Linked DNA regions of Arabidopsis thaliana. The protein of the gene in region 2 purifies or fractionates together with the protein of the main gene of each other region. This does not show direct contact. Each region holds a gene or a part of one and is shown on either strand. Other genes may lie near its edges. The genes, in order: EMB2107, AT5G16070, PAE1 and RPN1B.

Region 1 (6,847 bases), 2.2 Mb from region 2:
TCACTCTCAATCTTTGTTGTCTTCATCGTTTGGATACAACACTTTGTTTTTTTTCTTCTTCTTTGTCTTACAATTATGATTCGAGTGTATTTATAAGGAACTGAGTTGTTTACAATCCGATTTAGTTTGGGATTCTAAATTCTAACTGATCAAGCTTATACTTACCAACTTAAAAAAAAAAAAAAAAAAAACTTATCAAGTTTTTTTCACATGATTAAGATAATTATCACACGAATCATGTATTATTTAGAAAAAAAGAATACTTAGATTATGTTTGGAGTGTTGACAAATAAAAGAAGATAATGTTTGGAAGATTACAGGAAAATAATGTGAGATTTGATCTGTGTTTTACTTTCAGACGTTAATATCCATCCGCTTAGACCTGCCATTACCATTGCTGGTTTCCTCTACACTGGAAAGAGAGAATCTCGGAATAGCGTAATTGTAACGGTCAGGTGGTTGCTGCGGATAGAGTGTAGGAGACTGCATGAGATTGTGTTGCGGTAATGTGTTATATTTGTAAGCATCTCCTTCCCTTAGGCTGCAAAATTCAAAAGACCAAAACCCGATAAAGAAAAGAAATCCGATTTTTTTTAGGATGATAAATATATATACCTTGTTCTTTTATAGAACTGATCTTCATCACTTGTGCCCTCATCTAACCGCTGGGAAGGTGCATGGGAAAGAGACCATGCTGAAGAAGGCGACGGTAGTTCGTCTGAGAAATATCTTCTTCTTATCAACTGAAAACGAAAAACGTTCATTAGGTTGAAGAGAAAGAGAGAGAGGGAGAGAGCTATTGTAAAACATGGCAAGGTCAGAAATGACACCAACCATATGGAAAATTTTGGTCAGAGCTTCTTTGTCATATCTAGCTTCCTTGGCAGCCTGTGCATAATTTTACCAAAATTATATGACATACCGCATAACACTAAATTCAAATAAAGCAAGTAATTTAGTCTGTGGTTACCATTATGAGACCAACATTGCTAGGGAAGCTCTCAGAGAGAGGAAGTTCATCACTATGGGGAAGCAGACCCTGCTTCTCAACCCAATGACGAGCTGCATCAACAAGATTGCCACTGCTTCCATTTGTTCCTCCTTTGGCAGCAATATCAGCTTTGTTTCCAATAACGATGTATGGGACGGGAAGACCACCAGGCCCACCAGAAGAAAGGGGAGCTGAAAACTCCCCAGTTACTGAAACTTCACCCGCCCATTTCTGCAAATTAGTTTTTGTAGTCCTTTGCGAAAGATCATGAACAAAAATAACTCCTGCATAATCAAACAGTCGCATCAGTGACAAAACAGGGACAGAGATGACATTTGTTGAGACAGACCATTGATTTGTGAATAGAACAGTGAGCGGCAATCTTTGTATCGTTCATGACCTGAAACATCCCAAAGTTCGACGAAGAAATCTCTCTCTGAGTCACCTTTAATGATACTTGAAGAACTAGCAGGACTTGCGTAAGTTAAGTGCTGCACCAAAGAGAGTTCCAGAAACTAAGTAGGGAAACTTATCCCATGCTCTCTTTAACCATATCGAGAATTTTTTTTATAGAACAGCTTAAGTTACCTTGACACCAACTGTACATCCAATAGTTTGAGATGGGCGAACAATAGAGGAGCCTTTGACAATGAGATGCACAAGAGATGATTTTCCCACACCTAATTTGATATCCAGAGATAAAACTTTGCTCAATAGTGGAGAAGATGTAGTAGACTTACGAAACTTGACTCTTATTAGGTTCCACAAGTAGAAACTCATATCCAATCATCATGAGAAATCTTCTCATTAGCTCCTTCTTTAAGGATGAGTTTGTGCACTACGACAAACTTTCTTTAGTTCCATTAAATGGCTACTTAAAAAGCTAGAACCATTACCAAATCTATGGAAACGAGAATTTGTTAATATTACCTGAATCACCAACCACCAATACTCGAATTTGGCCGCATAATGGCGCTACCATATGTTCCTTATTTTCCCTGCCACGTTCCCTCCAAAACCGCATTTTGATTACTCCAGCAAAATCGGCACTGCGAAATTAAGTCCCATAGTCGCGTCTTCGACCAAAAGAGAAGCTTCCAGAAATCATCATTTCGAAACTCTGATTCCTAGCTGTAAGCAGATTATTCTAATCCATCACCTTGCACATTGCAAAACAGAGTCTCGGCTACAGTTCCTTCACCTTCCTAGTGCAAATAATCTCTAGAGCACAAATCGAAACCAATACCGAAGTTAACACAATTGATGGAGGTAAGCAGCGAATCTAAGGAATATGTAAGAGGATCAATATTCGAATTCTAAGAGCGTAATAAGAGTTTCACAGAAGTAAGATTCACCTTCTTCCTCCTTAACGTTCTTCTCCTCGATGAAAAAAATTCAGAAAAGATCTTTCCAGTAATCAAGGTAAACCATTGAATCTCGAGACAGGGAGTTCTCGATCGACATTATAGAATCTCTGGTTTCGCTACGAAAATTCGAAGATATCATGAGATTTGGGCGGAAGAACGAACGACGTGAGTTTGTTCAATCAATGGGATCGGTTCGATACTTCTGAACCAACACCATACCATATAACTAGACCGGTATTACATACCAAACCTGATTGACTCAAAACAATTAGTTAATGGCCCATTAGCAGCCCATGTAAAAAGATCCATCGGCCGAAGAATCTGAGATTTCTTGTTCAAGGGGTTGGGAACTCTGCGAATTATCTGTGCTCAGCTACTCCCAAAAGCTCTCTCATCTCTCTCGTCCGTCTCCTCTTTCTCCATAGTTTAAAGCTTCGTCGTTCCGTCACCAGAATTTCAACTACTTTGAGTTGATTCTCGTTGGATTTCTCACGATGGCGAGTCTTCAATTACTCAGATCTGATATTAAGTTTTTTTCTCGTTTTCGAAATTTTTGCATCTTCTCATTCCGTCATAGTTTGTATTTCAGGGAGACAGCGGGAAGCTTGAGGCAACGATAGATCGGCTTCTGAATGAAGAGAAGCAGATGAGACTCGCCGAAAACGTAGCCGGTACAAGGAAAGCCGCCACTGAGATTCTTCAGCTTTGTTTCGATGCTAAGGATTGGAAACTTCTGAATGAGCAGATTCTCAATCTCTCTAAGAAACGTGGTCAGCTCAAACAGGTACTTGGAATTTTGGTTATATCCTATCAGTGTTTGTGGTTTAAGCTCTTAAGGAACATGAACTTTTGGTTTGGGATAATTTGAAGGATTTGTTTAAGTTGGATATTTTGTTTGAGTTTTGAATGTGATTTGTTCCACATTTGACTTAGGAATTGCATAGGCCTAGTTTTTGGTAACCCTAATCTTGGAAAGAGATTAAGGACATTAGCACAAATTCAGGAGGATTCGACTTTGTGTTGGATACAAGCTTCTTTTTGTGGGATGTTGTCCTGTGATAGGTTGCTTTTACGATTCCTCTCTATGATTTTGATAGATTCACTGTTGACTCAAATATTAAAGCTAAATTGGGTCATTGCAGATAGTGATGTTTGTATTTAGTTCAGTTTATTACTTAACTTAGTTTGATTTTCAGTGTTTCGTTGGTTTTACTTTTGCTTTGCGTGTTTTCTTGGTCTAGTTACTTCAGACAGAATTAGCTTCACCTTTCCATGTACAAAATTATAGTTAAAAGTAAGGATACAAAGTGATAAGTCAACATCACTGATTTTTTTTTTGTGAACTTCTCCACTTGCAGGCTGTGCAATCCATGGTGCAGCAAGCAATGCAGTATATCGATCAGACACCAGACATTGAAACTCGGATAGAGCTTATCAAGACGCTGAACAATGTATCTGCTGGAAAGGTGCGAAACTATGAAACTGATGGTGTATTCTTTATAATAACTTCATCATTCTGTGTAATTGTTTACCATTGCATTTTACATGTATAGATATATGTTGAAATCGAGAGGGCACGTCTCACCAAGAAACTTGCTAAGATTAAGGAAGAACAGGGTCAGATAGCTGAAGCTGCAGATCTTATGCAAGAAGTTGCTGTAAGATTTTGTGCATTTGGCTATTAAATCTCCTGGAAATTTTCTTCCCTTGTTAACCCCTGCAATTTGATAAATAATTAACAGGTGGAGACATTTGGTGCTATGGCAAAAACTGAGAAAATTGCATTTATCCTTGAACAAGTAAGGACTTGTGTAGTTACGTTGCAATTAATAATTTGCTGGTGTTTTCTTTCATTGTGATAACTATCAAACTATTGTGGTCAAACTTTAAAGGTTCGCTTGTGCTTGGATCGTCAAGATTTTGTTCGTGCACAAATCTTATCTAGGAAGATCAATCCTAGAGTTTTTGACGCAGATACAAAAAAAGATAAGAAGAAACCTAAGGAAGGTGATAACATGGTAGAAGAGGCTCCTGCTGATATACCAACCCTTTTGGAGCTTAAGCGAATTTACTACGAGCTTATGATTCGGTACGGCCTTCTTGAGCTTCTCTATCACATTGTTCGTGATTTGTATTTCCATCATTTATCATGGCATTTTAAATTCTTATATGACTGTTTAATTATGGACCTCTCTCTCTGTCTCTTAAATTCTATCAATCTGTGTGGCTTTTGCTTGCTATGGTTTTCTCAGAGATGCATATTACAACTTTTTCCTGGAGGACAGTATCGAAATTTGGATGAATCTCCTTTTGTGTCAAATTTATGACTCTCTTTTCATGGCCAACGATTTTGGACATCAATTGCATTATGTTATCCACTGAATTCTGACGTACCATGATTGATTTCTGTGGCATTCTCATCTTTTTTATTATTAACCATAAAAAATTTCAACTATGTAGGTACTATTCTCATAACAATGAGTACATTGAAATCTGCCGTAGCTACAAGGCGATATATGATATCCCTTCAGTAAAAGAAACTCCGGAGCAGTGGATTCCGGTAAGCTCATGCCGTTGATTGGATGTATAGTTAGTATACATTCTATAGGGTTAGTGTAATAACTTTCTTTGATCTTCAAAACATTAGGTCCTGAGGAAGATCTGCTGGTTCTTGGTCTTGGCACCTCATGACCCAATGCAATCAAGCTTGCTCAATGCAACTCTGGAAGACAAGAATTTATCAGAAATCCCTGATTTCAAGTATATTTTATTTTCTGATAAATTTTGTTATTTCAATAACTGATTCTTTTGTACTCAAATGGGTTCTCAGTCTTTTTTTCTTTGTTTGATATCACCCGTTTCAGGATGCTTCTAAAACAGGTAGTGACAATGGAGGTTATTCAATGGACATCTCTGTGGAACAAATACAAGGATGAGTTCGAGAAAGAGAAAAGCATGATTGGAGGTTCTTTGGGTGACAAAGCTGGTGAAGATCTGAAACTGAGAATCATCGAACATGTAAGTCTCTCAATTTGTCTTTAAGCTTGTTTACATAAGTTGATTGATGCTTTAAAGTTATTAATTTATTCTGCAGAATATCCTCGTTGTCTCAAAGTACTACGCAAGGATAACCTTAAAGAGACTTGCCGAGCTTTTATGCCTGAGCATGGAGGTATGTTTGATCTAATCTCACTGGCTATATCAACTATGCTTCTGCTTGTTATAATTGTTGGAAATTGTGATTTCAGGAGGCGGAGAAGCATCTATCGGAGATGGTAGTGTCAAAAGCACTGATTGCAAAAATAGACAGACCATCTGGAATTGTGTGCTTCCAGATCGCAAAGGACAGCAACGAGATTCTAAACTCGTGGGCAGGGAATTTGGAGAAGCTTCTAGATCTTGTGGAAAAGAGTTGCCACCAAATTCACAAGGAAACCATGGTTCACAAAGCCGCTCTCAGACCTTGAAAACATGCGGTCTTCTTCATGAAAACTTTTCAGGATCTTCTTCGTTGAGTTATTAGCATCTTTATGTGGTAAAAACTCGAATCAGTGTTTCCTTTTAAAAATTGTACTATGGATCTGTACACTAACGAAGTGTTTTGCCACTTATTGGTTATTTCAAGTGTTGGTGGATTAGTTTTTGGTTAAATTGTTAGAAAATTTACATGAATTTACTGAACGAGAAGAATAATCTCGTGTGTGCCCCAGGAGATAGATCCAAACCTTGCGCTGACAAAAAGTCAGACGATAAAAAATTGCTTCATCAAAGATTGCAAGTTAATAATAAAAACTAAAATTATGATGGCACTGGCACATGTATAGTCTTCCATACTCTAAAAAAAACTAATAAAATTTGTTTATTGTTGTTAATTAATGTGATTAAATTTAATAGAGAGGAGACAGCTTTGCCAGTTCATCTCTGGTAAATAGTCCACGTTCTGGCGTCTTTGGGATTTCACCAACACCGTGACAGCTCCTTAGATCTCTCCTCGATTACTTCCTTTTTAATTTCCATGGCTCTCTAAAAATCTCTCTCTCTTTCTCTCTCTCTTACTTGTATTGTTACGATCTCTGCTTGAAGATTATGGACGGCGCCGATGGAACCGTTCGCGTCAAGCCTGGTCGCGGATTCGAAACGGAGACGGATGTTGCGGTTTCGTCGCCAGTGACACGTCAGAAAGCTGCTGCAGCTAAGCAATTCATCGAGAATCATTATAAGAATTACTTGCAAGGCTTGCACGAACGAATGGAGAGGTTTGGATTCGGGATTTTTGTTTGTTTTCAAATCTGATCTGGTCTTTGCTTCATTTCGAAAGATGACTTGTGTTTGACTTGAGATTTTTTTTGAAAATTACAGACGCAGGGAGTTTCAGAGGAAAGTGCAAGAAGCTCAGTTACCTGTTGAGGAACAAGACGAGATGATGAGGAATCTGGCTCGTCGTGAAACTGAGTATATGAGACTTCAGAGACGTAAAATTGGGATTGAT
Region 2 (7,204 bases):
AGAACGTCTTCGGAGAAACAACAACATCACACCAAGTCATCGGCGCTTACTCTTTCAGCTTCCGACGCATATTGGCGTCTAGCTCTGCCACGTGGAGCGAGTAGAGACCATCCATGGTGTAACCCTCTGATGAGCTCGGCGGGAGCGAAGTTACCGACGACGATGGTGTTCATGGCGGAGTTTGATATACTAAAAGAACGAAACTTGGAGATGTGTAAAGTGATGAGAAGCCATGGGAAGAGAGTTGAAGGTATAGTTCATGGAGGTGTTGGTCACGCTTTTCATATTCTCGACAACTCGTCGGTGTCACGTGATCGAATCCACGACATGATGTGTCGTCTTCACAACTTCATACATCCATCATAATAATTCCCTAAAGACCTTTTTCTGAAACCTTTAATTGATTTAAAATGTTGTTCTTGAAAAATAATAAGAGATAAAAACTTGAAATGTTGTGTTTTTATTGTGGATTAAAGTAAGCTTTGCTTTGTAGTGTTTTTTCAGTGAAGGTGAATAGTATAAATTATGTAATACAATAGATGGACTTGTACTTTTAAGTTAAGTTATGTATCCAATGCTTGAATATAATCTTAGCTTGACCACTGTAATTTTATTTCCTATTTTGTTTATGAGAAAGATAGTTTTTTTTTTCTTTTACTAAAAAAATTTATTTTGAAAAGAGTTGGAAATTAGAATCTACCTTTTGTTTTCTAGCACTTCAATAATTTTTCTCATAGTTGACTTTGATAAATTTGCCTTCGTGACAGAGACCATACAACTATAAAATGTTGTAGTGGATAAAAAATGTACTATTTCATTACAGTTTTTAAAATAATAAAGGTCAGCCATCAAGATATATAAATCTTGTACTACTTACTCAATCTTTTGCTTAAAATCTTTGAGTGTAAGCTATTTTCACTGTAATATTTAACTATGTATCTAGATATTGCTTATTTATCCACGAGGTTAGGTTTTTGTACATTTCACACGATTTTTTTTTTTGGAATCGAGTCAAAAAAAGGAATTGACTCAAGTAATGTATGGTCATAAACTCCCAAATACATAAAAGAAGACGATATTTATTCTTCTTTTCTTTTCCTCCACTTTTTGACGGGGCTTTCTTCATATGGATTGTTCGGTACGAATCACTATTGATAACAAGGAAATAAAAAAGTTGGTATCAAGATCTGTAACTTAAATTCGATACGTGTGTGTGTGTATACCAAGTTGTTAATGGTCCAAAACACAAACCATTTTACCATCACTATCCCCAACCCGTTTTTATTTTAGTTCTGTTGGGCCATATATTACACATTGACTAGAATTTTGATTCCAATAATAGATTATTCAGCTAACGCAATGGTTCATCTGAAAATTGTTTTAAGCATAGTCAAATCAGCCAGTTGCTAACGAACGAATTTGTTTTTAATCCTAAATAGACTACAAAACTAAATGATCAAATCAATCAAATTTTGAAATACCATTACTCTTACTAAGTATTAATTAAAAAAACTAATTTTAGGTCTAAATTTATATTACGTTTATAATTAAATTTCTTTCTTCAAATGATGATCGGAATAATATTGCAGAATGTTGGAGAATATATGATTTTTAGAGAATCAATTAATATATGGCTAAAAATGTAAAACATATTATAATCTGGGTAAATTTTGTAATTTCAGGTTAATATTAAAGTCTCTAGAGCGACTAGAGTCTCTCAACATCGGCTTCACTTTTAAAACCCAGAAGAAAGCCCTAAAGCTCTCTCCCTCTCTCTCGCTCGCTCTCTAGTTCAGTCTCAAGTTATTCTCTTCGTGTCCTGAATCTGTGCACCAAAGGTTATCGAAAATGTCAGTGCGAGTTCTGAATCCTAATGCCGAGGTTCTCAACAAATCTGCGGCGCTTCATATGACCATCAACGCCGCCAAGGGTTTGCAAGATGTACTCAAGTCGAATCTCGGTCCTAAAGGAACAATCAAAATGTATTTTATCCTCTTGATTTAATCTGATCTATGTATATACTGTTCATTATCTTCAAATTCCTCATGTGCTTCTCACTCGATGCAGGCTTGTTGGTGGTTCTGGGGATATTAAGCTTACCAAAGATGGGAACACGCTATTGAAGGAAATGGTGAGTTTGATCTTTTAAAATCAATCTAGATCGTATTGATCTGTTAGAATCGAGCTCTGTTTTGGCTTTTTAGTGTTGAAGGGTGCTCAGAAGCCCGTGAATTGTGTCATTTAGTACTACGCTAGATAAGATAGACGAAAGGATTAAGATACTGCCGGATAATCTTTGGTGTTGATATGGGCTACTGGTATGCTCCTTTACAAGTTATCTTGGTTCGATGATGCTTACACTCTGATTTCTTAACTGTTGCAGCAAATTCAGAATCCAACAGCCATTATGATTGCGAGGACAGCTGTTGCACAGGATGATATAAGTGGTGATGGTACTACTTCCACTGTTATCTTCATTGGTGAGCTTATGAAACAGTCTGAACGCTGCATCGATGAAGGTAAGTCGCTAATTGTTTGCTGAGAGTTCGTTAGTTTTATACTCCTATATGCTTGTTTTTATTTTATTTCTCAATCTATGTGTTATTAGTGGGGACCAACTATTTGTATTCAGCGACATTGATTTGCCAAGTTTTGTTTATATTGGGTATAGAAAATGCACAACTGGTATCTAGTTTTGTAGCCAGAATCCTAATGAAGGTTTATACTGTATCAGGTATGCATCCACGAGTCCTAGTTGATGGTTTCGAGATTGCTAAGAGAGCTACTCTTCAATTTCTTGACAACTTCAAGACCCCTGTTGTTATGGGTGATGAAGTTGATAAAGAGATCCTAAAAATGGTTGCAAGAACGACACTAAGAACAAAAGTATTCTTCATTTTATGATTATCTTTCTTTTCATTTGATTTTTCTTTTCGTTTTCTAATTTCGATTTACTCTTGTGGATTGTGTAGTTGTACGAAGGCTTAGCTGATCAACTGACTGACATTGTCGTCAATTCGGTGAGTTAACTGTTCTCTAATGGAATCTCACTTATTCTTTTCATTTTTTTTGTTCACACAGATGAGGACTCATCTATGCACCAATATTGGTTTTCGAGCTTGTTTGTCTTCTAATTATCTACTTTCCTCACATTACAGGTTCTTTGCATCCGAAAGCCTGAGGAAGCTATTGATCTGTTTATGGTGGAAATAATGCACATGCGTCACAAATTCGATGTTGACACACGATTGGTATGTCTTGACTTAATTTATTGTAAAATAGTTCCCTCATTATAGGTTTATATATGAAATACTTGCCGGTTTATAGTATGGACCTGTTGGAAACACTGACTTAATTCTGAATTAGGTTGAGGGGCTTGTTCTGGATCATGGTTCGAGACACCCTGACATGAAACGACGCGCAGAAAATTGCCACATCTTAACTTGCAATGTGTCACTAGAGTATGAGAAGAGGTGTGTAATATAATTCTTTGGTCAATTTGGCGAAGAGAAAGTAAAGGCCTGGATGTTTCTGGTGATGTGGACTAATATTTCTATTTATCTATCAGTGAAATCAATGCAGGATTTTTCTACTCTAATGCGGAGCAGAGGGAAGCCATGGTTACCGCAGAGAGGCGATCTGTTGATGAAAGAGTTAAGAAAATAATTGAGCTGAAGAAGAAGGTGGGACTGCGACCATTTCTCCAAGTTTTATTTTAAAACCCTGTAAAAAATACTAATACATGTTTTATTTCTTGTGCAGGTGTGTGGTGATAATGACAACTTTGTTGTCATAAATCAGAAGGGTATTGACCCACCATCATTGGATCTTCTTGCTAGAGAAGGGGTAAGCTACTTCTGTGTTTTCTTGCATTTAAACTTATGTTACAAATCGCTGAAATTGTGATATTTAGGAACAAGAAGAAAGATACTAGGGAAGAATGTGTTATTAAGTGAATTGAAATTGCCAGTAATATTAAAAGAGTAGTTCCTTCGATATACAATAATCCATGGAGACGATTGGCAGCATTAGTTTTTAGTTCTGGGACACTGACTGAGCTTGTCTATTCTTTTGTACCTAATTTCTCTTGTTTAGAAGCTGTTGAATCTAATTACCTTTCCTCATGTGTCCAGATTATTGGTCTTAGAAGAGCAAAGAGGAGGAACATGGAACGTTTAGTTTTGGCCTGTGGTGGAGAAGCTGTGAATTCTGTTGACGACTTGACCCCTGAGTCTCTTGGATGGGCTGGACTTGTCTATGAGCACGTTCTTGGGGAGGAAAAGTACACCTTTGTGGAGCAAGTGAAGAATCCTAATTCATGTACCATCCTCATAAAAGGTATTAGGACGACTTTTATGTCTTCATTAAGTTTTGATGGTTCATTTGTTCTTTTAGTAGTTTTAGTGTTCATTCATGAATTTCTTGGGTTTTGTAGGGCCTAATGATCACACTATTGCCCAAATTAAGGACGCTGTTCGTGATGGTCTGAGATCGGTCAAGAACACCATAGAAGACGAGTGTGTTGTGTTAGTAAGTACCTTATATATCTTGAAGTTTTTTTGTTAACATTGCTTTATGTTTCTCCGCAATATCAAAGAAATTGTTAATTCGTGATCAAAACCCTGGGTAAGGTTAGCATATAGACCTATTGTATATGTTTTGCGTTATGTTAATGTGTGGTTGCATGTTTCTGTAGGGAGCAGGAGCTTTTGAAGTTGCAGCAAGGCAACACTTACTCAATGAAGTCAAGAAAACCGTTCAAGGGGTAAGTTGATTTCTTCACTCGTACTCTAATTCTCGCAACATTACTTAATGCATCCCAATATTCTAAATTGCTAATACTATCATGAACATTGCAGCGTGCCCAACTTGGCGTTGAAGCTTTTGCTAATGCCCTTCTCGTGGTGCCTAAGACACTTGCAGAAAATGCAGGTCTTGATACCCAAGATGTGATCATTTCTCTTACGGTATGCATTCATCTCTCTTATCATCTTCTGCAAACTGAAATCAATTGTTGAAGGAACAAAGAATTAGAATTGCTCATTGTGATGCGCTTATGCAGAGCGAGCATGACAAAGGGAACGTTGTGGGACTGAACCTTCAGGACGGTGAACCTATTGACCCGCAGCTTGCTGGTATTTTTGATAATTACTCAGTGAAACGCCAACTTATCAATTCAGGGTAATGTTCGACCCAACTAGTCAATTCTAATAAAAGCTTTGGGTTTCGGTTGAAACCATTTCAATAACCGGCTATTTGTTTGTGTTGCAGGCCAGTGATTGCGTCGCAATTACTTTTGGTGGACGAAGTGATTCGTGCAGGCAGAAATATGAGGAAGCCTACTGCTTGAAGTCCTTTGCTTTTAACTTGGTTTCTAATTTGTAAGCACCTCAAATTTTGTTTCTTGGTGTAAATCCTGAATATTGTGAAACATATGTTTTTTTTTTCTTTTTGGCAATGAAAAACATATTTGAATCTGATCTTTAGATGTAGTGGATCTTTTGCAAAATGATAAAAAATAGTAATACAAAATCTATTTGAATCTGATCTCTAGATTTAGTGAATACACCCATATTTAAGAAAGGCCACAGTTTATTTATAAAAAAGGATATATTTTGGTTCGCAATGAACAAGAAACAAAGCGAGGACATTATATTGGTCGTACTCAAATCTTTTGTTCAACAAACATCTATATGGCCGAGGCTGAGACTTTACCCTCTTCTTGAACCATATACGCTCTCTTCATTTCCTCCAAGACATTGTCATTGGTGCTGCAGAATCAACAAAATAGTTTCATGGTTAGACAACATTTAAGCATCGGCCCAACAAGGGAGACGTTCATTAGGGAGTCACATAAAAAGAACTTGTGCACCAAGAACAAGACTGTGCTACACCGATATAGAAGATAGTTATTACTTCTCTTTTATCGCAGTATCAAAGAATCATCAATCATCCCCTTCTATAAGCTTATATTTGGTTACATATATATACTAGCACTGGTACGTCATGATAACGTTATGCATCTCCTAACCACAAGTTGTCTCATTTCATCATATCAGACTTACCAGTGAAGGGTATTAAGAAAGAATAATCAAAATCAGATGCCCCCATACACAACAAATCTTTATACGTAACAGTGAAAAAAAGATGACACCTCTAATGGAAGGAGCACTAAAAACTCGAAAAACTTACAATTGATGGAGGCAAGTGTTGAGCTCCCTAGCTTGCTTACGACATGTCCATACCACAGAAAAAGTTCTTCCTGTTGCGCATTGAGCATACTTGGAGACGTACTGATCACATTCCATTAATGCCTTTGCCTTCATCTTGCTACGCAGCGCTAATAACAAAGTATATACATAATCAATCAAACAACCATTTAACAAAAAAAAACCATCACCATTTCAACTTCAACACAATCTATAAGCTCAATTCATAGAAGCAATTTGACACACTCAATGAGAGCTTGCTAGATCAGATGCAAAATATGGAGTTACTACCAAGGGTTTATGAGAACCCTAATCCTCAATCTAGCAAAAGAATCTGCGTCTATGATAAGAAACCAGGCTTAAATAGTATCGATATGGTTGATCTCATTTTCGAGGCAATAAAAAAACCATTTGGGGGTTTAGGGTTTTAAAACATAGCGAGATGAAGAAGTCACGACATTGTCAAATTACCTTCTTCGACCTTCTTCTTCACGTGATTTTCACGAGCTTGCTCCACATAGCTACCCATTGACGACGGACCTTCGAGCTTTTCCGGCCTTCTCCGATCAATTCGATCAAAAGGGCAAAGGGGACTAGAAATGGGTTCAGGGCAAAGGGTAAATCCGTCATTTACCCCAAGGAAACTTAACTTATATTGCCATTTTGCCCCCTTAATATTTTTGTATTATATGAATGACCTTATTAACTTATGATTCGTCACATTTCACCCACTTCAATTTAAAATTATGGACGAGAATTAAGTCCTTTGACGGTCAACAGATTAGCACGTGTCGTATTTTAATTGGGTCGTTGCCCCTCTCTCTCTCTTTACTCTTTTCCCATTTAATGGTCACGAGACCGTCTCCCCCAAATTTCTCACTTCCCCTAATTTCGCTTCGAATTCAAAAGCCCTAATTCGAAAATTCCCATTTCTCAAGGTACGGTTCCGATCTTCCTTGCTCATACTTCGACAATGTTTTTTCTGCTTCTCGTTT
Region 3 (5,817 bases), on a different chromosome or scaffold from region 2:
ACTTATGTTGAGAATGTTGTGATGGATAAGAGTAAATGGAACGTTATGATTTACGGTGACGGCAAAGGGAAGACCATTATTTCCGGCAGCAAGAACTTCGTCGACGGGACTCCTACTTACGAAACGGCGACGTTTGGTGAGTCCTCTTCTTCCCTTGTTCCTTATTATTATCTTTGATTAAGTTGTTAAGATTAGTGAAGAGGTCAAATTTGATTTGGTTTAGGTAAGAACAAAAAAGACTTGACATTGTTACATAGTTTACCAATTTAGCTATGGTTGTTAAGTTTCTCTTTTGATGCAGCTATACAAGGCAAAGGATTTATAATGAAGGATATTGGAATCATAAACACCGCGGGAGCAGCAAAACACCAAGCTGTGGCATTCCGATCAGGCTCTGATTTCTCAGTCTATTACCAATGCTCATTCGATGGTTTTCAAGACACTCTTTACCCTCACTCCAACCGCCAATTCTACCGTGACTGCGACGTTACTGGGACAATCGACTTCATTTTCGGAAGTGCTGCGGTCGTTTTCCAAGGCTGCAAAATCATGCCTCGCCAGCCTCTTTCTAACCAATTCAACACCATAACCGCTCAGGGCAAAAAAGATCCGAACCAAAGCTCGGGGATGTCGATTCAACGATGCACTATCTCCGCAAACGGCAATGTGATTGCTCCCACGTATCTTGGCCGGCCGTGGAAGGAGTTTTCCACGACGGTTATTATGGAGACGGTGATTGGAGCAGTGGTTCGACCGTCCGGGTGGATGTCATGGGTTTCTGGAGTTGATCCACCAGCAAGTATTGTCTACGGAGAGTATAAGAATACGGGCCCGGGTTCAGATGTAACGCAGAGAGTTAAATGGGCTGGATATAAACCGGTTATGTCGGACGCCGAGGCTGCGAAGTTTACAGTGGCTACGCTTTTACACGGAGCTGATTGGATACCGGCAACAGGAGTGATCAATCAGCTATCTTAATATAGTGACAATACAATTGGATTCGTAGCTTGTTTTTGAAAACATCCGGTTGTGATCTACTTTATATTTGTTTGACACTTATGCATGATCTGTAATTTTTTCCAACATAGTTGTATTTTGTGTATCCCCTAATACGATATCTTCTTGATGTAGAACTATCAAAGCTACTCGCTTTTTGTAGCTCACACCTTGAACTCGAATTATAACACAACGATGATACTGTTACTAACCATTACTCACCTTCATATCCTTGTCATCGGGACATTGTCGACGATGTTACTAACAAACGGGATGATCATAAATCCGATAAAAATCTAATTATCTGATGGCGATTAATTAGGAGCCGGCTCCTAAACAAAAATCTAACTCAATACTAATCTATCCACACTAAACAAAACCAGAATAAACAAGATTAACTTGTGGAGCAAGCCAGAATAAATCTATCCATATAGTCAGGACAAAGCCAAGTCGAAGAGCAAGTAACAAAACGTAAGTGGTAGGAAAGGAAATTTTATAAGTCACAAATCCGAAAGGTTATTGAATGACATGGGAGCCAAAAGATTCTCTTACACAACCGACTAAAATGTGACATGATCCTCAATCTAACAGACAAAAGTAACAAGTTTTGTGACACAAGCTGATAGGTAAATTACCCAAATTGAGTTTTTTCAATCAAAGACGAGCGATGACTGCTTCGACTTCTTGTGGAGTGTAGAGATGATAAGCTGGTGCTACCTTGGCAATATCCACGTTATTTGGAGTCACCTATCACCAACCAATACAATTAGATTGAGCAAGAACTTCTGTTTACAGTTTTGGATTGTAAAATTTGTACCTTTTCTTCCATAACTTGCTTTAGGATAGATACAGCGATAGTCTCAGCTTCTTGTAGAGACAAATCCTGCAACAAGTTAATGAAACTAAAGGTTTTAATGGCAAATAAAGTGATGTAATCAAATAATTTATTGAAAAACAATTGGGAAAAAGTTCAAGTTACTTTGTTGAATTGCTCTTGAAGAGAGCTATCAGCTCCTTCAGAACCTGAACCAATTGCCTTTGCATTGCACTGCCAGAATGTTCCTGAAGGATCAGTGTAGTACCTGTAACAAGACAGAGTCATTTACAAGAAGATAAACTAACTTACACAAGTGAACCATTTCAGTAGAAGAAATCCAACTGAAGGAGAACTTACAAGCTTGGTCCATTTTCATCATGGCCAGCAATGAGAAGAGATACTCCAAACGGCCGAGACTGTAGTCACATTAATGACAAAGAGAATCAGTACACACAATACAACGACTAAATATGGATATCCAACTTATCAAGGTTTTGTTCTAATCAGTAATTCCAATTTTGATTATTACCATTGATTCTTCCTCTCCTTCACCAAACCGTAAAGCCAGATCACACAGTGCTTGTGTTGTGGACTCTACAGTCATCGGCTCACCATACGAGAATCTATGGTTCTGTACAAGAGCAAAAGAAGCCGTCAATAACACATAAAAGACCTGTTGAAGCTAAAAGAAAAGACCCTAGAGACAGAAACCTTACTTGAGTTTCAACTCTAGCATGCTCAACAAGTGTGCGCGCGTCAGCAATTAAACCGCTCATAGCACAACCAATATGGTCATCAATTTCCATAATCTTCTCCACACTGCTCGGTTCCTGGGGAAAAAGAAAAAGCATTTAACATATACTGAGAAAGCTAATATCACCATAACTAACATAGAAAGCTTATATGCTTCTGCTTGATCATATCATCAGATTCAATTCAAATTGTTCCAAAATAGTGAATCACAAGAAAAATTCTGAAAAACATAGAATTCAAAGTTAGCAAGCAAACCAGCAATGGCGACGTGATACGCTTCTCGACAGCAAGCACAACTCCTTCTTTTGTCTTTACTCCAATTGCAGTAGAACCAAGCTGCAACAAAATTCAACACTCATCAGAGTCTCAACAAAATTCAACAATCCCTTTTACAAATTTGAAATGCAAACTACATCGATTAAACAAGGAAATGTGAGCTAGAACTTGTGCAAATAAGCTAAAGCAATCAAAGAAAACCGTAAATCAACCATTACCCTTTCTTCAAAATTTCTCGATTTCCATAGGAAACTAACAAATTGAGGAATCGAAAAGTTACCTTGATAGCTTCAATGGCATATTCCACTTGAAATAGCCTTCCTTCTGGAGAAAAAGTGTTCACTCCTCTGTCATACTCAGTTCTTCGCACAACAAAATCAGAAACCACCATAAGCAAAACAAACGATTGAAGTAAAGGAAGAAAATTTCAATGAACCCAGAAGTAGATAGAGATACCTAGTGAGAAACATCTTCTTCTTCTCTTCCGATTTCGATCTGCAAAACCTCTTAAAGTCCTTCGCACAACGGAATCAAAACCCTAGAAAAACAACGGATCTGAGTTAATCCAGAGATTCAGAGAAAATAAAAATCATCACAATGAACTTGTTGAGAGTATAGAATCAAACCAGCTAATTGATCTGCGAATCGGAGAATAAACAGAAGCTTTTGCTCTCTTTTTAGCTTTCAAAGACGCACTTCTTCTTGAAGAACAAGTTAGATTGTTTCTAAACGCAGCGTTTTTTATAATGGGCTTTCATGGGCCTAACTATATTAAGCCTGGGTCACCCAATTAGGCCTTTCTTTGTATTTTTGAAAAATTATGAGACAGCTATAGAACTGACTGGAATTTGAACATGTTCCAATTTATCTCAATGTCAGAAGTTAAGTGTAACAATAAAAGAAAAAGACAAAAATTGGCAGTCCAGGTTATTATTTTTTTGCTGTACACAAATAAATGTTTTTTTTAGAAATAATTAGTTTTAGTGAATAAAACCAAACAGAAAAGTACAAAATAATTGAAAGAGTGTTGTCTCGTAAAAGTATGGGAACGATGAAAAGCTGTGACTTGTTGCGAGACTTCTTCTCCTTCCAGACGCAAAAGTTTGTCTTTGGTCAGTCTCTCTTATTTCTCTAAACACTTTTGCATGATAACAACTATTCGAATTTCGTTACTAAAAGACAACAAGAACAAAACTCCTTATATATATTAATGGAAATAGTCTTCACTAGTGTTTGTGTTTTTTCCTACCAATTTTAGAACTCCAAAAAAAAAAAAAAAACTTATATATTCTAGTGATTTGTTCTAGTACACTTATGTTTAGGTTTTGGTTTCGATCTCTTTCGATTTAGGCTTTAAAATTTCTGTTTTGTAATGTGTTCATGTTTCCCCTTTATAGGGTTTTAGACTCCAAAAAATTTACGTTTTCCTCCAGCTTTAGTTTTCAAGGACTTTTCTCTCGTACGTCGACTTTAGTTTCCGATGACTTTTCTTTCGTCCATCGGCTTAGCTTCCCTTGTTTGAAATTTGTATTTCACCATGGTTCCAAAACAAGTTTCAGATGAAAGAAAAAAAAAGTTCTAGTACACTTATTTTATACCACTCAAGTTCAACGCACAAAATTACAATTCTATGTTCAACTTTTTTTCGTTTAATTCTGCAAATTAATTTACAGAAAAAAATCCGTTTTTTTGAAAAGAAGTTTTGCGATTCGTTATTCCATATCGGCTTTTTACTTTCTTGCATAAACAATAAACGAACATACATGTTGATAATTGAAACACATAAACAGTAATTTCTTGTGTTTGTTTATGTGTATTTTACTCTCTTTTACTTTGACTGAGTTAATGACAAGTATTATTGCAAGGTAGACAACCACATGAGCTACGGCCGGTAACCAAATAGCCTCGGCGGTTTGTCAATTTCCTCGCCGTCTCGGCCGCTTTCTGCATCTGCTCAACATGTTGCTGCCTCGCCGTAGCTCTCCAATCTTCTGCTCTCCGGTGCACCATATCCATTCTCTTCATTAATTTCTCCTCTAAATTTGATCTCATCTTCTGTATTTTCACCTACAACAATAATTACCACCCCAAATATCACACATTAATTATTTAAAACTTCATCACTCAACTACATTTATGGACTATTAATTATGATTATATAGCTAGATAATTATGATTAATAGTTAATAATTAAATTTTAGTCTCCAAATTCTCAAGAGAGGAAATTACTAATTTTTTCACATGGGACTTGCACAAATTACAAGTACGACTATCATGTAGCTACTACATAACCACCAAAATCGCAGACATTAATTCTTGAAAATTAATCATTTCAATATAGCTACATTTATTTTTAAAGTTTAATCCAAATTATGTAGCTAGATGATAGATGATTGATAATTTAATCTAAGACTCCAATTTCCCAAGAGAGTAAATCAATCTTTTCACATGGGACTTGCACAAATTACAAGTACAGGCTACAAAGATGTCATCCCAATTTTAAAATTAGAAACTCAAAGACTTTTGCCTAATAAAGCAACAAAGACTAGTCAATGAAACTAAGTAAAGGACTCCGAACATTACTCTAATATTGGCGCGTGGCTCCACAATTCCGTTAGAACATAACAAAATCCGTATTTCTACACCGTATATCTCAACAAAATATACGTATACACATACACATACCTCAAGCTTTCTAGATTGAGCTTCGGCTTTAGCGTTTTCAAGATTAACCCATGCTTGAATTTTGGCCTCTTCTCTTTGATACCTTCAAAAAAAATTCAACTTTTCAATTTTCATAATTTCATCAAGATTTTTTTTTTCACCATCGTCAAGATTTTAAGTTCAGACCTTTGACAAAACTTGATCTTGTCGTCTTCATCATCCCATAAAGGAGCTTTAGATTCAGACACACTTCTCCTTAACTCACTCTCCATATCGAAATGTCTTAAACTCTTCGATATCTCTTCTTCTTC
Region 4 (8,904 bases), on a different chromosome or scaffold from region 2:
TACTTGGTCAACACGCAAAATCGTGAGCTAGCGCCGGGAAAACCCGACCTAAGTGATGAACTCTCTCAAGTCATGACCGCTTCCTCGTCAAATAACTATAAATATTCCCTCTCATTTATTTGATTTCCCACATAACCATATCTCTTAATTTTCTTTGATATCAAACAAAAAAAAGGCTTCTGTTTTATTTTATTACTTGTCGGTACAACATAAAGAAGAGAAAGTAAAATACGATGAGAAGAGTTAGTTGGTCTACTGTTTTGATTGTGGTTGTGATGGTGTCGTTGTTTTTCGTAGAACACGTGGTGGTTCCGGCTGCGGCGGGGAGGGTTCTTACTGAAAAATCGGGAGATGGAAGTGCGACTATGACGGTGGAGAAGATGAAATCGACGGTGGATTCTTGGTTTCAGCGTTTGGCGTCGGGTCCAAGTCCAAGAGGTCGCGGCCATTAAATTTTCCTTTTTTACTTTTTTTTTCCTGGCCGGAGGAGATTAATTAATCTCGATATACCCCATATGTATACCAGAACAAACGGTGAAAACTGTATTCCATTCATTTATTTCATTATTTGTTTTTTTTTTCTTTAGGCAAAGTTCATATAGTTAGTGACAGAAACTAAAACCCTCAATATACATGTACATGATTTTTGCTTTTGCTGGTTGCTAATTTTAATAAGATTTTATACTTCTGGTTTATGTTTGGGAACGAACTTATTCAAAAAAAAAAAAAAAAGATACACCGAGGAAACAAGTGAGTCGTGCACGCCATCTATGTAAAATTGTAAATATGTAGCCGGGCTAGCTGGGTCACCCTTTCAACATTTTAATAATATTACATAGTTTTGGCCAAATCCGGAAACAACGAGAGGAGCCTTTGCATGTCACAAATTGAAGTTGGAGTGCGTACAAACCAAGAACTTGAAGTTCCAGGGCAGCAAACCAAAGAGCCCATAATCAATAAGCCAAGTTTATAGAAACGTCGAACGAGTTGATTTGAAGGAGTTGCAGGTTAAGAGAATTGGATTTGGAAACTTATCCAGCTTTTAGAATGCGATATTAAAGTAGTGCACAAGAAGTTCCTATATATTGCAATGAAGCTATTTTTTCTTTTAAAAGGAGAGATTGTGAACCATTTCCTGGGAACAGACGGGAATAAACTAAAAAACTTTTGACAACCGTAGTGAAAGTATTCAAAGGCTCTCTCTCTTTCTTCAAATGCTTGCAACTTTGGATTTACTCCTCTCTGTAGTCTGGATTTTCCTTCAATATGACGAAACCTTCTAATATGGGCGACAACGGAATGTACCTGTGACCCAAAAAGAAGCAGAGTTTTTTTAGATTCCAATATGTAAAACAGAGTTTTATTTCGAGTAGGATAATGTAACAAGGGGATTAGAGGAACAACATACTTCTCGGTTGCGAGTTCAGCTCTCTCCCCAGCAGCAAGGAGAACAGGTGTTGAGTGCGTTTGGAACCCAGTGATTGTCTTAGGTCGGCCTGCCTGTCCAACCACATCAACCGCTTGTCCTACCCGCACTGGCACCGAGATGGGCTTCAGGCTCTGATCCACCGTCAGCATCATCCTTGGCTACACACTCAAACCGTATTGTGTTAGTAGATAAACTTAGTTCATTAAAAAAAAAGTCATCAGACAGAAAATTGCACTCACCTGCATCGCCAAAACAAGGAAGTAGAGCACATAGTGATATTTCCCCAGTATAATGGATTTCATGTCAAGGCATGCATGCAACAATGTCACTATACCAGCAAGTGCGGTTCTAGGTACAAAATACAACACCCAAGTTTAGGATTCACAAGGTGGAGCTTTGAAAGCAAAGTATACATAAAATATATGTTATAACTTACGGCGATAGCAAGAGCCGTTCGGAGTGGAAAGGATTGAGAGTTAAGAGACCCTTTCCCATATGCACAAACCCTTGAGCGATGCGCACCTGCATTGTGACTTAAGACAATGAGAACAAGCCTATCATAAGTAGAAACCGTGTTTATTCCATGAAAACTTAAAAAGAAATCATAAAACGTTACACAGAAAAGAAGGCTGGCATCCTTGTAATAATAGCTGGAGAGATTTCTAAGCATGCCAGCTATCCTTGCATTGTTGGTTCCAGCGCCTATCAATCCAAGGGAGATAATTGCTGCCTGTAGGAATCAGATGAAACATCAGTCCAACGCTGCATAGCAAGTCAAAGAAATAACTACTCTACCTCAACCATGAGTGGCGAAAAGATAACTCACCATTGCAACTTCTGAATCTGTGTCATGGCTTAGTCTGCTCAAAGTGTCCATAACAGTCACCTGGAATTATAAAAAAGTTAGAGAGTAACAACAGTATTCTTAAGCAGAAAAGTAACTGCACGCCGCCGAAAACTAGATATGCAAAAATAATACTCACCTTTGGGTTTGATATACATAGGAGACCAAGAGCCAAAGGCACTGCACGTCGAATGTTCTGCTCTCCATACTGTAGTACGCGCTCCAAAGAACGGATCTCCATATCCAGACCCAATTCCTCAGACATAGCAACCATAGCTAATCCAATCACAGCTGGACCCTGGTGGATATCACCTTTCACCAGATGCTCTCCACACTGAGCCAGAAGGTCTTGGACCTGAATAGTTTGAATAGTTTGAAGAGTCAGACTAAACTAGAAAGAAGTGAATAATCTAATTCAACCACTAGCACACTTGATCAGATACCTTAAGGACATTCCCGGTTCCAGCATATGCACATGAAAGAAGTGTCATATCACAATACTTTCTGATTTTCTCATTGAACGTCTTTGAAACTTCTGCAGTAGCCTCCACACTTTCCTGCTCGATATTGGAACAAGTTAAAACTAATAATCGGGGAAATAACGATCAAGTACACGAACAAGAAAAATAATCAAGTATGACTGGCTGCCCACCTGTTTGCCAAGGTACAAAAGACCAAGTCCAAGAGGCAAGAAACGAGTGAGGGCTTCACCCAGCTCTGCCTCGCTCCGATCCATCAAAGCAAATATAATAGATTGTGCAACCTCTTCGTTACACGAACCAACATAAATCATCCCCAAACTAAGTGCAGCAAATGCAATCACATCGAGAGGTGCGTTGGCATCATTTAGTATTGGAGACAACCTGATTTTTATCTATCCAAACAGTGAGCATGTTATTGTCTCGTCAACAGAACATTCAACTTAGCACCATAGGTAAGAAGATAACATGTATTCACCTGATCATTTTGGGAACCCGCATATGCAATCCCGAGACCCATAATAGCACCAATTCGGACAGATGAATCCTCATTGTCAATATAACCTGAAAGAAGGGCAAATGCCTGAGAAAGAGAGCTGAGTGAGAATGAATGGCGAAAAATTGTGACACAGAGGTTCCCATATTAAAAAAAAAAAAAAACTCACAGGGTCACAATCATTCTTAATGCCACAATTAACAATCCCAACTCCCAGCAGAGCTCCAGCAACGACGGGATTATCGTTACTATGGAAATATTTGTCGAGATGACCTAGTCCGGTCTCCACATCCCACAATTGAATCATACCCTAGAATTGTTGTTAAAACAAGTTCGTGTTACAATTTTACTTCCAAAATAAAAACATAGCTAATCAATTTATCAAGTAAGATGAGGTATACCAGACTAGCAACTGCACTGGTCTTTCCATGTTCTTTATTTTTGAAGAGCCAGTTTCCAGCCGATCCACTGGTTGAGTCAGATGGTACTGTCATTAATTTGTCCTGCAATAAGGAAATATATGAAAAGGGCAGCTTCCAAAGTTCTTCTTATGTTGCACATTAAGATCCTGTAATCATACCTGGCCGAATCCAGCATTTACAAATGCATTCACAAAAGTCGCAGATAGATTTTGCCTAGCTGAGTCCACACTTGGACCAGAGCTAGCCCTACCATCAAGCAAGTGAGCCTGCAAATTTCAGTGGACAGGTAAGAGGCACTTCCATAAACATATCCTGTAACCAAATAAACCAGTAACAGACATAATATTCAATTAAACTGATATACCTTGTAGATGTCTTCAGGCGTCTTGGCCTCCATGACCTCAATATCCCTAGCAAGCGTCAGATATCCTTCACTCAACTTAGAGTTGTTAACAATATCCTGTAGCGCTTCTTTGTCTTCGTCATTTGCAACCATCTCTTGGTCAAGCTCAAAGGTCATACCCTGCATGGAGAAATAACAAGAGAAAAATAAATATAAGAAAATAAAAAATCAGGTACTGCACCTTTATGCTAATTTAAATTATTAAGAACTTACATGACGTGCAATCATGTAGCAGAACTGTTTCTTTTTTACCAGATCGGTACATGAGGTAAATACTTGCTTCACATACTGCACAAAGGAAAAATATATATCATAAGAAAAATACATAAGTTAAAGAAGAGCTTTTCCCAGCTGCTCCCATGTTGCAGAAAGAGGATATTAAGTTTTATATGAAGATTAGAACCATACCTGCATGTTATCAAGAAATAATGCAATTTGCAGCGCGTTTGGATATTCTGCAAACTTAATGTAGATCATGTAAGCAATATCTAGAACCAACATGTCATCTGGTCCTGGAAGATACCTGGAAAAAAACATACAATATCAACGGGACTGATAATGTGCAAGATAACCAAGCAAAGCTCATGAGAGCTTGTCTCATATGAAAATAACATAATTAAGGGTGAAACGCCAGTCGAATGAATAAGCTAAACATATTGAAATTACTTTGCTGCACTCGTGAGATAGTTGCACGTCCTCCTGAAATTTGTATTGTCAACATGCTCAAGTAAGAGATCAAGATCCTCAACATCCATTAAAAGGTCAACAGCTTCGGTTTCGGCATTATGCTGCAAAGAACAAAAGGGAATCCTTCAAAAATGTGAACAAAACAAGAGGCGCAAATTTCACGCCTATCAATGAAACTTATATTAATATACAATGGACCCCTTGTTATTACAAGAAAAGTAAGAATGACAAGGATCTCACCTTCATGTGAAAAGAAACAATTTGCTGCACAAGATCCATTAAGTCTTCAATAGAGGACTCTTCACCCTGATATAACAAAAAGAATGAGCATTATAACCATATTCAGTAACGAGCCCATTGTCATAATATTCATTAACAAACCATAATATCCATGACGTTGCCAGAATATGAGTGAAACTCCTCGAGCTAAAGAACATTGCCAAAGACCAAATTGTTTACTAACCTGACGTATTGTATACTCTTTTGCAATCTCTCCAGCCAAATTCCTGACATACTCGTGACCCCACGATCCGATGTCACTCTCTGATCCATTCAACCTATAGTTTAAGCTTTCCTGAAAGAGTATTGCATAACAAAGGATCAGCAACAAATAGCTTAAGTCAAATTCTACCAAGAACCACAAAACACAAATCTGGTAAGGCATATCATAAGAGGAAAACAAAAGGGAATCTAGTTAAATGAATGTGAAGCAAATAGCAATAGGCAAGAAACTCCTACAACAGTAGCAAGAAAGCATACCCTTTCACCTTCAGCAGACATGGTCAGTGCCAGGACAGAAAGTATATCAGCCAACATTTTCTGCAAAAACGAGTGCGATCTTATAATCCAGACTCAGTAGAACGACTAAGACGGTGTTGATGAGAAATGACTTAAAATGTTTGAAATCGTACTTTGAGATCAGACTCTGCCATTTTTGCATGAAATTCTTTAAGAACTCCATAATGAGGGCGGAGAAACTTGAGGGGTTTTGGAACTGATGTCATGGAGCTTGTTGAGTCACGAATTTCCTTCCTACATACCAAAAGAGATCGATCAAGATTAGACTATGAAAACAGTGAAAGCACTAAAAGCAGCAAAAGAAGTGTCATAAGCCCATTAAAGAAACTCCAATAGAAAATTATCAGAATATTTGCATCTAATCAAATCAAGGATGGGTTTAAGAGATACAAAAACTACCTCATGCTTTCAAGAGCAATCTTCTGTAACTCAGGATTGGGGTCCTGAACTCTCTCAACATAGAGCTCCAGATTCTGCTTTAGTTGCAAGTCCTCTTCAGACTACAATAACATCATATGCAAATTGAGTCAGCTGCCAATCAAACCAGCTAAAACCATAGCCATAGTACAAAAGATTCCTATTAATTTAACTCCATGTGACTTAAACCCTAACAAGAATTGTATCTTCCCAGAACGAGTTATAATGTGGATTTAACCAACTTCTTAACCTCGCTTTCTAAATAGCAATGCGACATTCACAATATATCAGCTAAACCGTACATCTCGGAAAATCTACAGCTTAATCGTGAGTTTTTTCCGATCTCCCTGGATTCTTTCTAACTCAGCTAAGCACGATTCCAACTAATAATCGAAATCGATATAAAGAAAACTCACCAGATCCTCTTCCTTTTTATCATCTTTCTTCTTGGAATCCTTAGAAGGAATCTTCGTCGTAGCTTCGTCCCGCTTCGCACCACCGCCAACACTGTTCGGATCCGGAACTGGAGCCATTGTAAGTCAGACTATCACCTGATCAAATCAACGAATCCAAACAATGAGTATCGAAATTCGTAAAACTCGGAAGAATCGAGCAGCTTCTATCTTATGAGCTCTCGCGTAAACCCTAAGTCTCTCTGGAATGGCTCGTTAGAGAAGAACTATGCTTTTCTTCAGGAACTGTAGCAAAAAGGTTCAACTGTAAAAAATAAATACTATCAGATAAAAAAAAGTACTTATACGGAAGAAGATTACCCCTCGATCAAGAATTCCATTGTGGGCTCAGCCCATAATAAATTGGGCTATTCATTGGGCCATAGTATTCTACTATGGTCTCTATATAAAACACCTTGTCTTTGGCAAACATCTCTATATATAATCAACACTTTAAAATTTATTTTATTTGGGCGATATAGCCAATCACAAAATAAAGGACTCCAAAAACATCTATTTTATCGGATTTACATTTGATCAATTTAAATTCGAAGCAACTAATTCGATCGGATTTAAATTCGAACAACATAATAATAGCAACATTTATATAAATACGTTACATGTCTTAGTCGACATGTTCTTTTATGGTAAAGTTAGCAATATTAGTCGAACTCAAACATATACCTTCACATAATGAAAGAGGAAATAACATTTAATTGTTTTTATAATTAATAATATAAATGGGAGAATCTGAATTACTTGAGCGATAATAAAAGAAGAAAAGGAAAAGAAATGGAGAAGGGAAGAGGCAAGATGGCAAAGCTGTGATTTAAAACACCGTCACCTCCCCGTCAACGGAGACAAACAAAGATCGTGTTTTCTCGAACCTTCCACGAGATATACTAAGCCAAAGAAGAAGAAGAGACCTGAGACGAACAAGAAATCCAGAAATTACCAATTCCTTTTTTTTGTTTAATCGAATTCAGGAAAAGTGAAGAAACGAAAGAGAGAAGACAAAGAAGAAGAAGGTGAGATGGGAGTTGATTATTACAAGGTTTTACAGGTTGATAGAAGCGCTAACGACGATGACCTTAAGAAAGCTTATAGAAAACTCGCTATGAAATGGCATCCTGATAAGAACCCTAACAACAAAAAAGACGCTGAGGCTAAGTTCAAGCAGATCTCTGAGGCCTACGATGTATGTGTTTGATTCCTCCACTGCTTTTGCTTTATTGAAATCGTCCCTAAAGTTTTGATTTTTATTTCTATTGAGAAATTTTCATTCCCTTGATACTGTCGGTGGTCACGAACTTGTTTCTGATTTTTGATATGAGATGCAATTAGTCTGATTTCACGATTTGATGTTGTGTTGGTTCGTGGGGTTTTTAGATTTCGTGTCCCTGAGTAATTCGAATCATAGTATATAGTAAAAGATGATTGCTTTATATTTGGGCAAGCTAGGTTATCTCCAAAGCTCTTAATTTGTGCTTTCTTTGCTGATCTTCTGAGTCATGATTTATCCGTTTTCTTAACTCTGTGATTGATTATTGAGAACCTCTTAGGCACTCTGTACTTGTCAATGTGTAGCTTAGGATTATGAGGAACATACTAAGATTGTTTGATTTGACTCAGGCTTTTATGAGGCTAATGTTGGTTTTTGTTGTGAGATGATTAGGTTCTTAGCGATCCTCAAAAGAGAGCTGTATATGATCAATACGGTGAGGAAGGGTTAAAAGGGAATGTGCCACCTCCCAATGCTGCTACTAGTGGAGCATCCTACTTCTCAACAGGAGATGGATCTTCGTCTTTCAGATTCAACCCGAGAAGTGCAGATGATATATTCGCTGAGTTTTTCGGGTTCTCGACCCCGTTTGGTGGCGGTGGTGGTGGCACTGGAGGGCAGAGATTCGCTAGCCGCATGTTTGGTGATGATATGTATGCCTCGTTTGGTGAAGGAGCAGGTGGAGGAGGAGCTATGCATCATCATCACCATCATCATCATCACGCTGCAGCTAGGAAAGTGGCTCCTATCGAGAACAAGTTGCCTTGTAGCCTTGAAGATCTCTACAAAGGAACCACCAAGAAGATGAAGATCTCCAGGGAGATTGTAGATGTCAGCGGGTAAGTGATTGAACTCAGATACCATTTCGATCACACTTATAACATTTTGTTATTAGGCTTATCTACTAGTCAACCTAGAGCATGGTTTTAGAAATATACAACCTCCCAAGTCCCAAGTATGATGAACATATATGAAACAAAGTTTCAAGCTTTTAGATTCTGCAACATTCCCCAGCTTCCATATGGTTAATTGTTGATTTGAGCTGACCCTAGTTGTTGTCTTAACAATATCTAATATCTGTCTTCTGGTAAATGCAGTAAGGCAATGCAAGTGGAAGAGATTCTAACGATTGGAGTGAAACCCGGGTGGAAGAAAGGCACAAAGATCACATTCCCAGAGAAAGGCAATGAGCATC

What was found.
Region 1: the proteins of AT5G16070 (region 2) and EMB2107 fractionate together in Arabidopsis thaliana (co-fractionation; one large-scale study listed by BioGRID). This does not show direct contact.
Region 3: the proteins of AT5G16070 (region 2) and PAE1 fractionate together in Arabidopsis thaliana (co-fractionation; one large-scale study listed by BioGRID). This does not show direct contact.
Region 4: the proteins of AT5G16070 (region 2) and RPN1B fractionate together in Arabidopsis thaliana (co-fractionation; one large-scale study listed by BioGRID). This does not show direct contact.

What each region holds. Positions count from the first base shown.
Region 1 is NC_003076.8:3,088,440-3,095,286, reverse strand, and holds EMB2107 (26S proteasome regulatory subunit, putative (RPN5)), read left to right. Parts: upstream 1-2,691; 5' UTR 2,692-2,852; coding exon 2,853-2,855; coding exon of another isoform or gene 2,856-2,859; intron 2,860-2,947; coding exon 2,948-3,142; intron 3,143-3,716; coding exon 3,717-3,824; intron 3,825-3,911; coding exon 3,912-4,016; intron 4,017-4,100; coding exon 4,101-4,157; intron 4,158-4,250; coding exon 4,251-4,447; intron 4,448-4,818; coding exon 4,819-4,918; intron 4,919-5,005; coding exon 5,006-5,118; intron 5,119-5,222; coding exon 5,223-5,380; intron 5,381-5,452; coding exon 5,453-5,530; intron 5,531-5,606; coding exon 5,607-5,881; 3' UTR 5,882-6,009; downstream 6,010-6,847. Other genes in the region: AT5G09910 (Ras-related small GTP-binding family protein), read right to left, coding at 355-541, 616-743, 835-888, 971-1,275, 1,341-1,482, 1,580-1,671, 1,922-2,015; AT5G09890 (Protein kinase family protein), read left to right, coding at 6,445-6,614, 6,718-6,847. UniProt on the Arabidopsis thaliana protein: Acts as a regulatory subunit of the 26 proteasome which is involved in the ATP-dependent degradation of ubiquitinated proteins. Required for gametogenesis and sporophyte development. Acts redundantly with RPN5B.
Region 2 is NC_003076.8:5,245,695-5,252,898, reverse strand, and holds AT5G16070 (TCP-1/cpn60 chaperonin family protein), read left to right. Parts: upstream 1-1,719; 5' UTR 1,720-1,848; coding exon 1,849-1,982; intron 1,983-2,067; coding exon 2,068-2,131; intron 2,132-2,383; coding exon 2,384-2,519; intron 2,520-2,734; coding exon 2,735-2,886; intron 2,887-2,972; coding exon 2,973-3,020; intron 3,021-3,158; coding exon 3,159-3,251; intron 3,252-3,366; coding exon 3,367-3,473; intron 3,474-3,568; coding exon 3,569-3,683; intron 3,684-3,762; coding exon 3,763-3,846; intron 3,847-4,133; coding exon 4,134-4,338; intron 4,339-4,435; coding exon 4,436-4,530; intron 4,531-4,696; coding exon 4,697-4,765; intron 4,766-4,859; coding exon 4,860-4,967; intron 4,968-5,062; coding exon 5,063-5,181; intron 5,182-5,271; coding exon 5,272-5,350; 3' UTR 5,351-5,545; downstream 5,546-7,204. Other genes in the region: CXE17 (carboxyesterase 17), read left to right, coding at 1-366; AT5G16060 (Cytochrome c oxidase biogenesis protein Cmc1-like protein), read right to left, coding at 5,690-5,771, 6,193-6,340, 6,681-6,738. UniProt on the Arabidopsis thaliana protein: Molecular chaperone; assists the folding of proteins upon ATP hydrolysis. Known to play a role, in vitro, in the folding of actin and tubulin.
Region 3 is NC_003070.9:20,102,481-20,108,297, forward strand, and holds PAE1 (20S proteasome alpha subunit E1), read right to left. Parts: upstream 3,598-5,817; 5' UTR 3,469-3,597; exon of another isoform or gene 3,381-3,468; 5' UTR 3,313-3,380; coding exon 3,299-3,312; intron 3,205-3,298; coding exon 3,123-3,204; intron 2,903-3,122; coding exon 2,822-2,902; intron 2,644-2,821; coding exon 2,530-2,643; intron 2,445-2,529; coding exon 2,343-2,444; intron 2,230-2,342; coding exon 2,171-2,229; intron 2,079-2,170; coding exon 1,976-2,078; intron 1,880-1,975; coding exon 1,814-1,879; intron 1,744-1,813; coding exon 1,651-1,743; 3' UTR 1,276-1,650; downstream 1-1,275. Other genes in the region: PME1 (pectin methylesterase 1), read left to right, coding at 1-136, 302-978; AT1G53860 (Remorin family protein), read right to left, coding at 4,685-4,909, 5,528-5,609, 5,693-5,817. UniProt on the Arabidopsis thaliana protein: The proteasome is a multicatalytic proteinase complex which is characterized by its ability to cleave peptides with Arg, Phe, Tyr, Leu, and Glu adjacent to the leaving group at neutral or slightly basic pH.
Region 4 is NC_003075.7:14,065,850-14,074,753, forward strand, and holds RPN1B (26S proteasome regulatory subunit S2 1B), read right to left. Parts: upstream 6,734-8,904; 5' UTR 6,509-6,733; coding exon 6,392-6,508; intron 6,059-6,391; coding exon 5,958-6,058; intron 5,793-5,957; coding exon 5,672-5,792; intron 5,580-5,671; coding exon 5,520-5,579; intron 5,335-5,519; coding exon 5,224-5,334; intron 5,067-5,223; coding exon 5,001-5,066; intron 4,862-5,000; coding exon 4,740-4,861; intron 4,597-4,739; coding exon 4,482-4,596; intron 4,362-4,481; coding exon 4,287-4,361; intron 4,194-4,286; coding exon 4,035-4,193; intron 3,937-4,034; coding exon 3,829-3,936; intron 3,752-3,828; coding exon 3,650-3,751; intron 3,559-3,649; coding exon 3,418-3,558; intron 3,336-3,417; coding exon 3,231-3,335; intron 3,148-3,230; coding exon 2,926-3,147; intron 2,831-2,925; coding exon 2,717-2,830; intron 2,629-2,716; coding exon 2,413-2,628; intron 2,316-2,412; coding exon 2,256-2,315; intron 2,160-2,255; coding exon 2,046-2,159; intron 1,952-2,045; and 9 more. Other genes in the region: AT4G28460 (uncharacterized protein), read left to right, coding at 234-452; AT4G28480 (DNAJ heat shock family protein), read left to right, coding at 7,461-7,625, 8,103-8,548, 8,807-8,904. UniProt on the Arabidopsis thaliana protein: Acts as a regulatory subunit of the 26 proteasome which is involved in the ATP-dependent degradation of ubiquitinated proteins.